3 linked regions of the Arabidopsis thaliana genome follow. The protein of the gene in region 1 interacts with the protein of each later gene in a pairwise test. Each region holds a gene or a part of one and is shown on either strand. Other genes may lie near its edges.

Region 1 (4,981 bases):
TCCCACCCACCACTGAATCATGATGAGTTTGTAGCTGCTTATCCTCACTTGGACTCAGGTAGGAATGACCACATCAGATGTGAGGGAGAATCAAGCAATTTCAGACAAGACTTGTCTTCAGCTTCAAACTCCATAACTCCAAGAAGGGAACCACAATACCTAACTGATAGAAGACACTTTGAACCTGGTCAATCCTCAAGAAGACATGATGTTCGGGATTTAAGAAGAGGGTCAGAGAGGATTGGGAATCTCAATCAACAGAACTATGTGCAAAGATCAGGAGGGATACTGAAACCTCCGAAGAAACGCTAAACACTCTACCAACTTCTGTTTTTTTTGGATTGAAGTCTGCAGGTTAACAAGGAAGCAGCTTCAAGATACTCCTTTTGGATTGAAGACTGCAGGTCAACAAGAAAAGCAGCTTCAAGATATAATAGATGAGTATGGTTTTTGGTTAGGACATACTCCTACTTATCTTTAAATTCAGCATTGTCTTAGTTTATGTTTCAGTTTGGAATAGGCTTGTTGCCTTTTATGTTTAAGTGGAAAGTCCACTGATCAACTTTTTGTAAGAACTTAAAATGTTATCAATGAAAAGATATCAGTTCAGAGAGAAAAAAAAAAAAAAAGATACCTCAAGATCTATGCTTTTTTTATCGTTTTCCTATGATGTTATGTCACGTTAACACTATAGTATTCACACAATAACTGATTTATCTTTTCCAGAATAATTTTACTAACATAAGTTCTTTTTAGTGTTAAGTGATGCTTGCTTGACGCTGCGTGCTCCGAATTTTTGTTCTCTCTCATTTGCCTTTTTTTTGTTCGTAAATTTTTTTTTATTGCATTTTCTCACTTTTTAGTCCTTTCGGAGAAAGATCAAAAGACATTATAGGTCAAGTATTGATTTACAAAGATAAATACATGAATGAGGGTGGTTATGTAGATGTCGATTACTACTCACTATCTCATGACTAATCATCTTGAAAGATCAAAGATCAAACCAAGCTTGCTTGAAAATTCAAAAGCATACGATTTGGGGTCCCATTTGTTGGAAATATTACAGTTAACATGTATTCGTCGATACATCTTCCCTCAAAACATCCATTGCAAGGACTCTCTTAGCTAATAATACTACTCCTAAGGCATTTTACCATTGTTCCAAAAACAAAACTTGAAAAGAAATGAGCTTATGGAGTAAACACTCACGGCTTTGGAGAATGTGACATAGTTGATTCAAGCCTGCGTAACCAGTTAACGTATTGATCCTGCTCCTTCTTGTTCAGGTGACACAAAAGGAAATTAGTTAAGCCTTCACTGACCCCCTTAGATATTAGGTATTGCTCCAGTGCACTGTGTAGTTTGGGATCTACTTGGCTAAAGAAACAAAGAAAATAACACTGGTCATTGAAATCAAACATATGCAGACACATGAACCTCTAATAGTCTACTTCTTTTTCAATATATATAGAACAATTACTCCAGGGAAAGAACAATGGGAAGTGTACCCAATGCTTTGAGGTTTGGATGAAGTAAAACAGATATGATTCAAGTAACTTAAACAAAATGTTGAGAGATTATCATTTATGAGCTTACTTCACCTGAAAAAATGGTCTCCATAAGTGGAAGAAGGAGCAGAAACAAAAGAGCGGATAAAGTAGGCGCTCTCGATGTCGAAATGAGAAGATCCAGATCCTGATTCGTAAACCCGGCAATGAAACTGCAAGATAGAGCTGAGACCAGGCTTTTTGATACAAACTTTGGCATGAGCTTCCCTAGGAAACACTAAATCATCTTCTAGTTCTATAGGTTCTGGTTGCAATAAAGCAGAGACCACAACCTTCTCGCCTGAATCAAACTGTCTCTTCAGAACAATATCTTGGCTTTCCGGTGAATCCCAATCCAATTTGAAATCTCCTAGAGAACCGGTCTCAACGCCCTGTGGGGTTCAAGCACAAAGCAAAATCATAAAGGTAGAATGTAAGTACTTAAAATCCTAGGGTTTATGAGATCCAACATCAAATTCAAATTCGCCCATCTGGTAAATCACTCTAATGTTCATCAATTCAGAAAAATGAAATTGAAACTGACAGAGTCTGATCGAACTAATGTTGAGCACCATTGATCTTAAAACTCAATTGAGAGATTACTGAGAGCAACGAAGAAGAAGAAGGAAAGAGGAAGACAACAATTTACCTGGAAACGAGGATGGGAGATTTCGTGACGAATTTCACTTTGGAGGATCTTCAACAAATCACCATTTTCAATAGCCTTCAAGCCTCGTTTCAGAAGCGGATTCAACTTCCTCATCTCTCTCTTTTCCCTAAAATTGGCTTCTCTCAATCTACGGAGCACAAAAACTAAAGTAGACTGAATCATGATCCGGTTCGGTTTAATTCGGTTTATTTCCGTAGCAATTTCAGTAGACCGGAATTTAAACGGTTAAACCGAATTCTCAGTTACGTAATCATGCAATTTAACAATTACACAGAACCAATCAATCATCAGCTGCACACCAAACTTTTATTTCCCTTGAAGATCAAGGCTTCTCTCAATACATAGTTTCATTCAAAGGGTGATTTTTTGTATTAATAAACAAAAAATGAAGATAGAATTCAGATTTCAGATAGAGTTTCATTATCCATTTTAGTTCAAGCATCTATAACCAGACAATGAAAGAGAATCAACCATATGATGATGTCACGTCACACACACTCCTTATAAACTATATGTGTAGCTTCTAAGGAAACCAAAAACATATAGATCAAAACAAAAAAAACAAACAAATTATGAATTCAGAATGGGAAATGGATTCTGATAGAAAGAAAACATTTTTCAAATGCACAAAGTGGCAATTCGAGGACACACTTGATCCTATTAACTGTCCTTTCCACTATTTCTGCGACAGCATCTATGCCGGCGACTACCCTCAAATCACCGACGTTCTAGTTTTCTTCTTCGTTACGGTTACTTATTTGACGACGCTAATTGTTGTCGTAAGGAAGGTAATATCAAGAAGAAGAAGAGAAAATGATGATGATGGTGATGATGACAAAGCAAGAAGGTACTTACTTCCTTCTGGTCCAATCTCTCTTCCTTTGATCATCTTGATTCTTGCAAAAGGTCAAAGGATCAATACCCTTTTCCCAATTTCCATCTTTGGACCTGCGATACTACAGCTTGTTCAGCTCTCAGTGCTTTTATTTGAGAACAATATCGAAAAAGAAGCGAGTTTTGTCTTCTTCGAAGCCTCTACTATCTCTGGTATTCTCCACGCTAGTCTTTACTTAGACGCTGTGATTCTCCCCTATTATACAGGATTCGATGCTCTGGTCACATCTACTTTCTCTGGAGTCTGCAAGTCTTGTATATGCAGGAAAGAGCCATTAATAGTGGGAGGGAAGATTGTCTCTTACCGAGGATGGTCTAGTACAACGTTCTTGGTGGTTGGTGTTTTGTTTTTGAGGATTATATGCAAGTTATGCAAAGAAGAAGGAATAAATAAAAGAGTTTTGGTGGTTAAAAATGTTGTGCAAGGACTGACATTGCTTGTTCTTATAAGAGATTGTGTGTACTTGGCCGTTATGTCTCCTGTTGAAGAGCCTATCTTGTTTAGGGTTTTTGTGTTTGGTTTTCTTCTTCTGTTGATATGTGTTTATGTAATCACAAAAGTATGTTGTTTGGTTAGTCGGAGACAGAGTAAGAAGACATCAGACACATGAAATTTGAAACAAAAAGGAAAAATCAGAGGCAAGATGAAGTAAATGTAAATGATTGCTTAATGATGAGTTTATATTGGATGTGATGATGAAATGGTAAAACTTAAACATTACTTCTATATCTATTTATATTTATCCTTATTGTAAATAGTTAAATCAAAACAGTGAGAAGTAGTAGTGTCAAGATGACGCAAGATAGTGGTTACAGTTTTAAACAAGAAGAAATAGAAAAGTGGTGTAACACTTGCTAATTTGCTAGATATTCCATTAGGAAATTGCTTTTGAAAGCCTTCTGAGTTGGTTCATCACTTTACCCGAACAAAAAAATGACTTTTTACTTCTACTAGGCATAAATAAGTCTTGGCTTTTTAATTCAATATATTGGTTATGTTAATGTTGAACAAGATTATATTACAGCTAGTATATATACTGCGATGCAATGTTAAATTTTAGATTTAAACTTTGTTAAAGAAGATTAACCTTAAGAAAATAAAATTCCTAGATTTATAAATATATGACTAACCATACATACATACATATTCAAGTTCAGAAGTCATAGAATTATATCAATAATTAGGTGGTACCACTGTACTATCTTGTATTGTTATTTGTAGCATTGGATAGTTTTACGAAGTTTGTACTTATACATAATGATTAATGAGATCGTCGATCTCTGGTATGCTATTCCGATGACTAATTTATCCCCAAGAACCTACGAACAGAGATTATTGTTACATGAGTTCTCATTGATCATGGGTGTACTTTTATTGATATTAATTGATGAGATTCTAGATCGAACCTCACTTAAACATAAAACATACGAGAAGAAGAGATTCGTGATCCGTAGTAGCTCTGCTTATTCAGATATGACCACACCAATAGAGATGATAAGGACCCAAAAGCATGTACTTACCGAATTACTATGGCTATTGTAAACTTATGCTTAAATCCACGTAGAATTCAACCATAAGCCGGCGTAAAGTAGGTTTAGGTAAACTATAAATGATTAGTCTAAATTTTTAATTTTTTTTTTGTCAATCAATGATTAGTCTACATAAAAAAATATTTCTAGCCCTAACAATTTGCTCAAACACTAATAATATATAGAAGGTTTTGTTAATCAAGTACGCAAGTGAATTTTTGTGCGAAATTAGTTTTTATTTTATTATTATGATTTATACCAGAAACAACTTTATAAGCAAAAATGCACTCAAAGTACTTCACCGAGAGTATGGTGAAGGATCTAGTAAGAAGAGCACTAA
Region 2 (6,257 bases), on another chromosome or scaffold:
TGTGTTTAAATTTACTGAATTACCTAACCAGACACAGTAGTTACATCCACATTACATCACATTTGTTATCTCTTTATTAGGTGTGCAAAGGATAAAAACGAAAAATGTGGCAACACGTCATTGTTTCAAATATTTACTAAGTTTTCCTTATATAGACATTATTACATCTCAAAAAATCATCTCTTCAACATTACCATTTACTACTAGATGCAAGAGATAATAACAAGATAAAACAGAAAATGTGGCGACACGTTTTTGCCTTTCTTTTTAATTCTGTTGTGTAATTTACTCATAGTCAAATAAGTTATCAAGATATTATATCTTTTTAAAATTTAATCGGACGGTTATTGAGGCATCGAAAGCTATCACCAACATAAATCTATCCACGTGGACGGTAGTCACCTATCAATATTCACGAAAAGGCAGCGTTTATTGAATTTCTCGTGATATATCTGCTGACGTGTATAAGGCCCCACAAGATTTATGTTAAACGTAAAATTAAAACTGTAACAGAGAACTTTGGTTACCTATATAAAGCTCGCTCTTGCTGTTTCATTTTTTCAAGTAGTAACTGAAATCGAATTCATTTTCTTCTCTTCCTTTCTGGGATTTCGATTTTTCGTATTTTTTTTTTGTTCTGTTCGTCATGGTGATGATGAAGAAGCTTTTGTCGAACCGTTTGTTCAATATGTCAAAAACGGCGTCGCAAAGTCTCATGAACTGTCGTACTTCGTCTTCTTCTTCGTTAGCCATGCGAACTAGGGTTCCTAAAGATATAGGAGAAGCCACGATTGATCCAGAGCCTGGAGATTTGACGATTTCTCAGAGGTTTTTGAATAAATTCTCCATGAATGGGATTGATACGACTTCGAAGATGTCTATTGGGGAGAGTCTGATGGAGAAGCTTAAAGAAATGGATATGAACAAGGATCGGATTCGATTAGACGGACTTTCTCATCCGAAGGAGGAGACGTTAGGGCTTACTGTGCAAGACGTGAAGAAGTTGCTAAGAGCAGCAGAGATCGAAGTTATTAAAACGAAGCTGATGGAGACAGGAAAAATCTGGATTCGTTACTCAGATTTCTTAGGTGTTTGTAGTGATTCTTCTTTGGATCCTTCTCAAGGAGCTTTGATCGCTAAGATGCTTGATGATTCAGGAAACGTTATCGTTATGGGAAACTCTGTTTGTTTAAGACCTCATCAGGTAACTTCTTCCTCCTCTTTGCTTTTTTTTACCATTTGAATTCTTTTTTGTCTATGCAATTCTCTGATAAGGTCTTGTGTGTTGATCAGTTAACCAAATCCATAGAGGGGCTTCTTCCTTTATCACAAATCCATAACCCGAATGACCCAAGAAGAAAGGAGCTAAATGAGCTTGAAGCTATAAAGACGGTCATTGACCAAAAAGCACATTCTTTGGTGAGAAGAGAGCTTTGGGCTGGTTTGGGTTACTTGATCATCCAAACCGCAGGGTTTATGAGGCTAACGTTTTGGGACCTGACATGGGATGTTATGGAACCGATCTGTTTCTATGTCTCATCGGTATATTTCATGGCGGGTTACACATTTTTCCTCAAGACATCGAGAGAGCCTTCCTTTCAAGGTTTTTACCAAAGCAGGTTTGAGGCTAAACAAAGGAAACTGATGCAATCTGAGGATTTTGATGTTGGGAGGTATGATGAGCTGAAAAAGCTGTTTAATCCCAAGCCTTCAGGTGCTGTTCCCAAGATTCTTGGATCTCTACAGAATTGATCATTGGTGTCTCGTTGTCCTACTAACCTGAGAAAGATATATTGACCCCCAAAATTGTGTCAAACTATAATTTTTGAATATTTCATAATCTTTCTAGGAAAATAGGAAAAAGACAAAAAAAAAAAAAAAAAGTTCTATTAGTGCGGCTTATGTAATTTGGAAGAGTAGATAAAAGAATCGATTGTGATGTAGATTTATAAATTTCAAGTCTGACTTTCTGAATGTTAAATGTTACAATACTTCCATGCATATGCATATGAGATATCATTACTTTAAACATGTTATCTATACCAAAAACTCAACAAAACCTTGTCATTTGAGGCCTAAATCTTAGTTGAAGCCAATTCCGAAATTAGTTTTAGTTTTAACTTAAATGATTTTTAGTTTATAAATTAAACAAGTATAACATATGCTTAATGATTGTTTCGGCGGGCTTACATAAATGATTGATAGAACATGTTATGCGTGGGAGTAGTCGTTGTAAGTTCACCGTCCAAGTCTCCTTTTAATTAATTCACGAGAAATCAACTACGACCGTGTAAATAAAATACTTAGTTTGGTAGGTCAAGAATCACTTCTGGAAAATGAGACTAAAGAAAAGAGTCACTTGTGGAAAATACTATCAAGTGGACAAAACCAAATTCCTCATAGTGAAAAAGAGATATATTACACTGTTCCTGCCGCATTTGTTTGGTACGTATCTAATATTTTTGTTTACTCACGTGGTACTATAACGCTTATTGCCAATATAACGATTAGGACAATTTGATTTCTACTAATTTTATTTGATACGTATCAAATATCTTCTGTCTTAGCTGGTCATCAAATTGTGTGAAATAGTAATTTAATACTAACTCGTTACTGATTACTGATGTAGATTCATCTTCGTAACGATCGCCCGATCCATATTCCAATATTTGCATTTTGTTTTACGTAATGCACTCTTTCTCATCTGTAGCTCCTTGAGTAAAACTTAAAACTTAACCATGAAGGCATCTGTAAATTGACGCTTGTCTGAATTTCTCAACACCAAACTCTCTTTCGTGTCTAGAGGTTCTTTGGTTTTCCCACCTGCTTTTCGATTATGGTAATGGTCAACTTGACGCGTACCAAGTTTTCTGATCTTTTTGAAGATATTTCAAATATGGTTTGCTATTTCGATTTTCGACAATAACAGTAAAACCCCATTAAGACCATAAATCTTAAAAATTTTCATAACCGTTTTACAATATTCATTTATGTAGCCAAATTAAATTTGTCACGTAAATGTGACAATTAATATTGGTCCACATCATTTTGCTTTCATGACAAGACCGGCCATTTAGTGACCTACTGTATGTTCTACAACAATTATTGGAAAATGGAAATTAAATATCCCAACAAAAAAAATAAGAGCAGAAACAGAGATTCACTTTGCGAAAAAGTCGCACGCACACATATAAAAGACAGGACTAGAGGAACAGAGGAAGAAGAAGAGTCACTGTGATCACCACCACCGTACGATCAAATTCAAACTATGTCAACGGCTCTGATTAACTCTATTACCTACTTCCTCTCCGAACATCCATACATCGTCGGATTCCGTTGGAGTAACAGCCAATCATGGGGCTCCACGTGGTCTTTCCTCTTCACATCAATCTCCCTCTATATCGCCGTCTCATCCTCCCTCCACATCCTCCTCTCCGCCGTACGCCGAAGTAACCGTTCCGTTCCTTTAGGTCACATCCCCGAAATCCACAGCCTTCTCATGTCGATCCTCTCCGCCACCATTTTCGCCGGAATCCTCCTCTCCGCTGCCGCAGAGATCCGTGACACACGGTGGTTATGGCGGCGGAGCAAAACCGCCACTCCTCTCCAATGGCTTCTCTGTTTCCCTCTCGGGACTCGTCCCTCTGGTCGTGTCTTCTTTTGGTCATACGTGTTTTACCTCACGCGCTTTCTCCACATGTTCCGTACGATTTTCGCCGTTTTACGTAGCCGGAGGCTCGCCGTGTCTCAGCTCTTTTGTAACTCCGTCATGGCCTTCACGTCTTTCCTCTGGCTAGAATTCTCGCAGTCGTACCAGATTCTAGCGATTCTATCGACGACTCTGGTTTACTCGGTGGTTTACGGTTATAGATTCTGGACCGGGTTTGGTTTACCCGGTTCGGCTTTCCCTTCGTTTGTGGTGAATTGTCAGTTGGTTCTCGTGGGCTGTAATCTCGTGTCTCACGCTGGGGTTCTTACGATGCACCTCTTTAAAGGTGGATGCAATGGGATTGGCGCGTGGGGTTTAAACTCGGTTCTCAACGGTGCGATTTTGTTGCTTTTTCTTAACTTTTATGTGAGAATGCATTCGCCAATGCGACGCCATATTAATAAAATGAATAGCCAACGTAACGCTTAAGAATTAATTGATCCTTTTTACTAGTTTTTACTTTTTACTCAATAAAACAAATCTAATCTTCTTTTTTGTCTTTCACTTTTAAAACTGAAGTATAATCTAATTTGTTTTCTAATAACTAAAATGTTCTGCGTCTAGGTCTGTACATCTTCTCAAACCGGGACAATTTTTTTTTTATAAACCATCGATCTCTGACTTTGCATGAGATATTTTACATTTGAACTATTGGCTCTTAGTTAACGCAATCTAGTTCTTGTTTTTCATTCTTTTAAATCTAGTTTTGTGTTTTTTAAGTGGAAAGAAATTATGTCGATTATTTATAAATATATCTTTAAAAATATTTATTTATTTCATAAGAGGTTTTTGATCCAAAGACTCAAACTTGGGGTAACTTTATGACGTAGATATACCACAATACCCACCAAAATGTGGTGATAGAGGAAACAAAGGTTTACATGGTGGATCATGGACGAGGATGATCAAAAGCTTATACTCTTTACCAAGTGAAAATGCATTTTGGATAAGAGGAAAAATTATTAAAAGCGAGAAAACATAATATGGTTTGAGACTGATGTGTTAGATTGTAAGAGCTGCAATTGTATCTCTCTACTTGGGGACACACTTTTGATTTTCTATTTACCGTTTGAATGCCGTATAAGGAAATGTACAGGTCAAACGAATATGGTCGAGTGTTCGCCTTAGACCATTGTATAAGGAAATGAACTATGTCGACTATATTTAATATTTGGGCCTAGTATAATATTACTACACTTAATCAAAGTTAAGGCATTTATAACTGTAGAACAAGATGGGCCTAAGGCCACGGTTTTCTACTTAACTAGGCACACATATGACATATCCCATAGTAAAAAAGCTTACATAATAAGGCCCACATCTGAAATCTGATTCTCCACTGTAAAAATAAAATCCTCTTAAGCTCTCGATCGATGGTTCTGCAATCTCACAAACCAGAAACAAAGAGTCCAGGCTCTTGCAACCAACCGCGGAACTTGTTGAAAGGCGACGAGGAGAGAGAATTTCAAATCTCTCCAGATCAAAGTGAAACACAAGTACAACAAGTAACCGACAAAGTGAAGCGCAAGTACTTGTTTCTTTCCTTTTCCTTTAATATTTGTTAATTTGAGAAAAGTAAAAACCATAAAATATATATAGTTTCTGTCCGAATCGGCCTATCTTCACAAAATCTCGATTCCAATCAAGAATTTATGGCAAGAAAGGTCGATCAATCAATCAGATGATTATGGATCTAGAGATCTCTAAATTTGTGTTGTTGTGAATTGAGAATGCGAGAGCATTCGACGATGTACAATTACGCCCCCGAAGTGCCACCGCAAAGTAAAAGGAAGAAGACGATGAATGAGGCGTCTCCGTCGTGGTCTGGATTACCGGATTCTGTGGCTGTGAGTTGCATGGCTCGCGTCTCGAGATTGGACCAAACAGCCTTATCTCTCGCTCCAAGAAATACCGCTCTCTCGTAACATCCCCTGAGCTCTGCAGCACGCGATCGCTGATTGGTTGCACTGAGCCATCTTTCTTCGTCTGCTTGCGCATCTTACCTGATCCAACCCCTCGCTGGTTCGTCCTTACGGGTAGTCGTCGACTGAGGCCGGTCCCATCGCACCCCTATCAGGCTCCGGAATCATCTTCTTTTGTGGTAGTGAATTGGGGGATCTATGTTATGTAATCGGTGGAATCATAAACGGCAATCCCACTTCCGATGTCTTGTTCCTCAACTGTTTTTCTCAGACATGGCACCGCGTCCCGTCTATGAAGATGGCTCGTGCTTCCGCATCGGCAAGCCTCATAGACGGGAAGATCTACGTTTTTGGAGGGTGCCCAGAGGACGCTGATTCCTCAAACTGGGCGGAGGTATTCGATCCAGTTTACCAAACTTGGGGTATATTTAATACGCCGAAGATGGCCCATAGTATCAACCAAAGTGTGGTGATAGAGGAGAAGAAGGTTTACGCCGTGGATGAGGAGGACCAAAGCTTTAGCTTCTTGCCAAGTGAAGGTAGAATCTGGAAAAGCGGAAAAAAAGATTCTAAGGTAGGAAGTAGACACGATTGGTGTGTCATTGGGAAATTACTATACTGTCGTG
Region 3 (5,588 bases), on another chromosome or scaffold:
AACCAAACTGTAAATCCAATTCAAGCATTCAACGAGTCATGTAACTAAATCAGCCAGATAGGACAGATTCTCAAATTGATGGTCTGAAATTTTTTTCCTTCAAGTCAGATCAAAGCACACGCGAAAAATTAAAGAAGGTGAATCTCAATCTCTCTTTCTCATAAAAGCTGATGATTTGTTGAAAAGGAAAGAAAGAAAAAGGTATAAATATATTTTTTTGGCTTGAGTTTTGTTTATTTTTTGAAAGAATAGGTGGATGAGAGAGATAAAGCGATATATGGTTAGAGGGTAAATTGGTCAAATTATACATTCAAAGTGCCTTCTTTTTAGAAAGTGTCTAACCACGGAAATGTTTTTTAAAAAGTGTTTTACAGTGTAATATTCTCAAAAAAAAAATAAGAGCCCTTTAATATAGATATAATTATTTAAATTTAATTTATATCTGTTTTAAGAAAATAATAACTATACATATATATATATATATATATTATAAAATCGACATTAAAAACGTAGTTGTTACTTTTCTTCTAACCATATTTGTTTAAATATACCATAGCTATTTATATATTTACAAAAAAAAAAAAATCATAAAATGGGTTCCAAACCATTACTTCATTTGGCCAGCCATGGGCTCATACGTTATGTTGTGAAGTTCTCGGAATAACAATAAAATTTCAAATTTTAGAAAATACCACTGTTACTAGCCTACTTTCACCTTGTGGATCATTTTGTTAGCTATACATGATACTATTGTTTGTTTATTTTTTACACTCTAGAATTTGTATCATAGCTAGCAAAATGATCACATATATGTTGTTGTAAAGTTCTCGGAAGCAGCCGTGATGGAAAACGCATATTCTCGTATCACTAGTGAACCCAAATGATCACATATTTGTTGTTGTTTTTAACTCAGCCATCATTACCATGCATGAGTCTCGTCTAACATGACGGTTCTGTAACCCAAATGGAATGGAATGCATTTTTCCTACACTACGTCATGACATTCCCAGGGTTGATGCCACTTGTTTGCACAATTATTGTCTCTTCACCCTACAGCTTTCAACAATGTGCAACTACACGTAAATTTGACCAATCAATTTATTTATCAATATTTATATAGTGCAACAAGTAATTTTCTTTTATTTGAACCAAACAAAAAAGTAATATTCTTTCAGTTTAGAATTCGCAAGGTTGACTTCAACTTAGTTTCATATCAACTATAATTATATTCTGTGTATATAGTTAATGTTTGAATACTCTAATGGCTTTGTATGAATGGCCTGATATAACTGTCCCTCGAAAATCTATTACTTAAGTAGAAAATACATAATATATAAAATCTTCAATTTAATTACATAGGTTAAATCCTTTTCACTCACATAGTCTCATGGATCATTTTTTTTTTTTTGCATCCATGGATCTACAGTTTTGTAAGAAGTAAAAGATAAACCATGAAAAAATCCTATATCTGAGTTACATGAGATTAATTTTCTAACAAAAGCTTTAAGCAAATAATGTTTGTCACTTTCATTTGATAAATAAATAAAAAAATACAAAAAGAGATATTTCGTCTAAGAGAAAACATACGAAACCAATTTCAATAGCTCAACTGGTAAAGACTATTAGACAAAGCATGTAGGTCGCCGTTCGATAAAAAAAATTATTTCCCACGTATGTAATTGTTTCTCCAGTTTACCTCTTGATTTAATGTCTACGCGGTTGAATATATTATCTGTAAGAGTTGGTACCATGTCTATTGCATACTATAAACATCGAGTAAATGAAATTCACATCTTTGTTCACTTAGGTTTTTAATAGCAATCTACACGATCCTGCTTTTATGGCTGCGTCATTTTCATTCTTGTAGATAAAGTCACTCCGGTAGTTATAAAAAAAAACAAATTAGGTTTAACTTGTAGTGCTATATATATATATATATATAAGCTTCATATTGTTTTCATTACGATCTTTTTTTTTATATATACAATGAAATTGTTGCAAGCGTTAAGCAATGTAAACGTGGAGGTTTCAAGGATGTCTTGTGAACGATTACCAGAAAATAATGTATATTATTGACAAGGTATGCAATAAACTTATGAGCAAAAACGAAAGAATGATAAATCATATAGGTATAAGGTATATTAATAAGTAAAAGCAATAAACTTAAACATGCGACCAAGAGATAAAAAAAAGTATATAGCGAAACTACAAGTAAAACATTTAAACCACCATCAATATTATATCCACTTATAACAAAGAAATATGATTTTGGGAAAACGAACTTAAAAAAATATATATTGCATGGACATATAGCGAAATAGTTCATTCAAAGACAAAGATTGGTTAGTCTACTCCTATCAATCTTTTTAAAAAAGTAAATTAATATTGATGTAAGGAAATTTGTAATTTTAGTTTAAAGAATTAATGCTAGTGAAAGAGTAGTAATAAGATGCTACGTATATAACCCAATTGACTTTGCTTGGATCATCAAAAAACTGCCTCAAAATGTTATATTCCATTGCGTGTGTATTTTTGTTTTTACGAGTTAATCACTCACGCCACAAGATCTCCACTTTTACTTGCTCTTCTCCACTTTTTAACCTCATTCCAACTAGGAAGTAAGATCCATGTATCTCTTTTTAACCCTTAAAACATTGGAAACAAGAATTCTCTTACACATGTATCGGTAGTTGGAAATGCCGACCCAAAAGGACCAAAACTCACCATTATCTCAAGTGATAGAGCTTCTCAAGAAACTACTCCACCATTTCCACAATCTCCTTTTGTATTTCTTCATCCTCTGGATCGGCGTGATAGTTGGAATCATTGTTTATCCCTCTCTACAAGGATTATCTTCGCCTTCTTCGTTAACCATCCAAAGTGTCTCCCAACTCTTCTTTGTAACCCCTCCTCCTCCTATTCTTTCTCCTTCATTTCAGGACAATGGGCTTGACATGTTTCTGATACCACTGAAGAACATCATGCACGATATGGAAGATAATGAACTTCTGTGGAGAGCTTCAATGGATCCTAAGATCAGGGATTACCCTTATCCTAGAATCCCGAAGGTTGCTTTCATGTTCTTGACTTGGGGACCTTTACCTTTGGCTCCTCTATGGGAAAGGTTCTTTCGAGGTCATGAAGGTCTTTTCACTATCTACGTTCACACCAATTCGTCTTACGACGAGTTCATGCCGCAAGACTCTGTGTTTTATGGCCGCCGTATTCCAAGCAAGGTCAGCTTCCCAAATTATTAAGAAATTTATTTCGATACATTAATAGGTTTGGAATTAACGTGATAAATAAAATTTATAAATATATTATAAATAATATATATATATATATATATATATATATAACGGATCGAAGTACATGAATACGATATTTTTCCTATCTTTTTTAGTAAATTACATAAAAATATAAGAATATTTGGTATCTTAAAAGAAAACATATTAATTATTACACTATAATACATAAAATAAAATCAATCCAATGTCATTAACTATAAACGTATGCAGAGAGTGGATTGGGGAAACGCAAACATGGTAGAAGCAGAACGAAGGTTATTAGCAAACGCTTTATTAGACATCAACAACGAACGTTTCATTCTTCTCTCCGAATCATGCATCCCTCTCTTCAACTTCTCCACAGTTTACTCTTTCCTCATCGACTCCACTCTAACCCACGTCGACTCCTACGACCTCACAATCGGTCGCGTCCGCTATGACCGCCGCATGTATCCTCACATCCGCATGCACCAATGGCGAAAAGGCTCTCAGTGGTTCGAGCTAGACCGAGCCATGGCCCTCGAGGTAGTCTCTGATACGTTCTACTGGCCAATCTTTAAAGCTTACTCTCGCTGCCCCGACGAGCACTATATCCCGACGCTACTCAACATGAGGCCGAGCCTTGGGTTGCGTAACGCGAATAGGACGCTTACTTGGACTGACTGGAGCAAGCGTAGGGCTCACCCGAGATTGTTTGGTGAGTGGGAGGTTAATGTGGAGTTCTTGGAGTGGCTAAGGATGAAGAGTGTTGGTGATTGTAAGAAAAATGGAGAAAATAAGATGAGACTTTGCTTTCTCTTTGCTCGCAAGTTTTCGTCGACTGCTTTGGATGAGTTACTCCGGTTAGCATCTATCGTCATGTATTTCTGATCACTCTCTTCCCCCTTCGTCCAAAAACAAAGATGCAATCGGTTTAACTACCAAATCTTCTTTAAGTAAGTGAAATATACAGTGTGTGCTTAACAAGTTACTTTCAGTACTAGGGATGTGAGATTAATCAAAGTCCTTGATAAAGTTAGGAACTAGCCTGTCATCAAGTTATAAACAGAAGATAACTTGAGAAACATTGAGAAAACACAAAAGCCTGACCCCCCAATCTCATTTGGTTTAGTCCTCCATTAGCATTTATGAGAAGGTATCCATTCATATTAGCACCTAACTCTGCAGACAATGTATACTCATATGGTAAGAACTTATAGAAGAGAAAAATAGGAAAAGAAAAAAAAGAACAAATTGCTACTAATAGGACTAAAAGTTTTGCCTAGACACCTGAATACTCAAAGAAGAATAAAGTCATGTCAGATATTTAATCTCCTTCTCCCATCTTCTTAAGCGAGATAGAAACTAAGCCACAAATGTTTAACCAAAGAAACACTTGAAAACACTACTACCACCAAGAAATGTGAAGAAGATCTTAATTAAGCAGCTCAATACACATCCATTTTTGGGCAACACTCAAAACGCAATTTATCAAGTTGTAGAAACAGAAACAAAGGCTAAACCACATATAAACAAGACCTTCTCAAGCCAAAAGTCGTAAATGTTCGACAAGAGAAACACTATTAGTAACAGAAATGTGAAGATTTTATCTTAATCAAGCATGTTCTAGTATGAGAAACACCTAAAAAGATAGCACAAAAAGCAAGAACCTAATGAGAAGCACCACCACCAATGGCAAAATTTTCTATACAATTGTTGATTTTTTCCCCATTTACATATTGATTATTCCATTTTGCTATATTTAGTTTTTTTTTTTTTTTTTTTTTATTCATTCAAATTCAATTTTACATATATTTATGTGACCCAAAACATAATTCCAATTCATTTTCTACAAAAATTCAATTTTTGACTTACCATATCACAAATGATATTATTAAAATAATATCAATAATAATATAATCACTCTTATAATAAAACTTCGTAATGGCCACAAAAAAATCAGTAATTTTCGATTTCCTTAAAAAGTCATCGAATTAAATATGAAAAATCAACGAGTTAGTTTGTCCAAAACGAATAAAATAAATTTAATAGTACCTTTTATTTTTTCGGAAACCCTTGTTTCGTTTTTTTTCCTCGATCTTCTTCTTCCCCAATCTCTCTTATTTTGTGAGCTTTTTAGATCCTCCTTTCTTCATCGTTTCTTTTCCGAGGTTTCAAATTCGTTCAATTTCTCGATTGAAGATACCTGAAATCGCGTTATTCTAGGTCCGCCGCTGTTGGATCTGCAAATTCCCCTTCGAATTTGAACATTTGTGATTTCAAATTCTTCGAGAAGATGAGCGCGAAAAAGCTTGAAGGTTC

What was found. The genes of interacting proteins can lie anywhere in the genome.
Region 2: the proteins of AT2G41610 (region 1) and HOS3-1 interact in a protein complementation assay, tested with the Arabidopsis thaliana proteins (one large-scale study listed by BioGRID).
Region 3: the proteins of AT2G41610 (region 1) and AT1G68380 interact in a protein complementation assay, tested with the Arabidopsis thaliana proteins (one large-scale study listed by BioGRID).

What each region holds. Positions count from the first base shown.
Region 1 is NC_003071.7:17,344,392-17,349,372, forward strand, and holds AT2G41610 (uncharacterized protein), read left to right. Parts: upstream 1-2,765; 5' UTR 2,766-2,789; coding exon 2,790-3,722; 3' UTR 3,723-3,848; downstream 3,849-4,981. Other genes in the region: AT2G41590 (Ta11-like non-LTR retrotransposon), read left to right, coding at 1-312; AT2G41600 (Mitochondrial glycoprotein family protein), read right to left, coding at 1,206-1,377, 1,602-1,939, 2,197-2,379.
Region 2 is NC_003075.7:17,346,243-17,352,499, forward strand, and holds HOS3-1 (GNS1/SUR4 membrane protein family), read left to right. Parts: upstream 1-2,975; 5' UTR 2,976-3,268; coding exon 3,269-4,043; coding exon of another isoform or gene 4,044-4,138; exon of another isoform or gene 4,139-4,385; intron 4,386-4,539; coding exon 4,540-4,691; 3' UTR 4,692-4,921; downstream 4,922-6,257. Other genes in the region: AT4G36820 (calcium uniporter (DUF607)), read left to right, coding at 647-1,204, 1,294-1,752; AT4G36840 (Galactose oxidase/kelch repeat superfamily protein), read left to right, coding at 5,924-6,257. UniProt on the Arabidopsis thaliana protein: Probable very long-chain fatty acid (VLCFA) elongase that controls VLCFA composition and functions to inhibit abscisic acid (ABA)-mediated stress responses, including regulation of stomatal aperture, maintenance of primary root growth and inhibition of germination.
Region 3 is NC_003070.9:25,634,502-25,640,089, reverse strand, and holds AT1G68380 (Core-2/I-branching beta-1,6-N-acetylglucosaminyltransferase family protein), read left to right. Parts: upstream 1-2,627; 5' UTR 2,628-2,696; coding exon 2,697-3,236; intron 3,237-3,518; coding exon 3,519-4,157; 3' UTR 4,158-4,252; downstream 4,253-5,588. Other genes in the region: ARG1 (Chaperone DnaJ-domain superfamily protein), read left to right, coding at 5,563-5,588.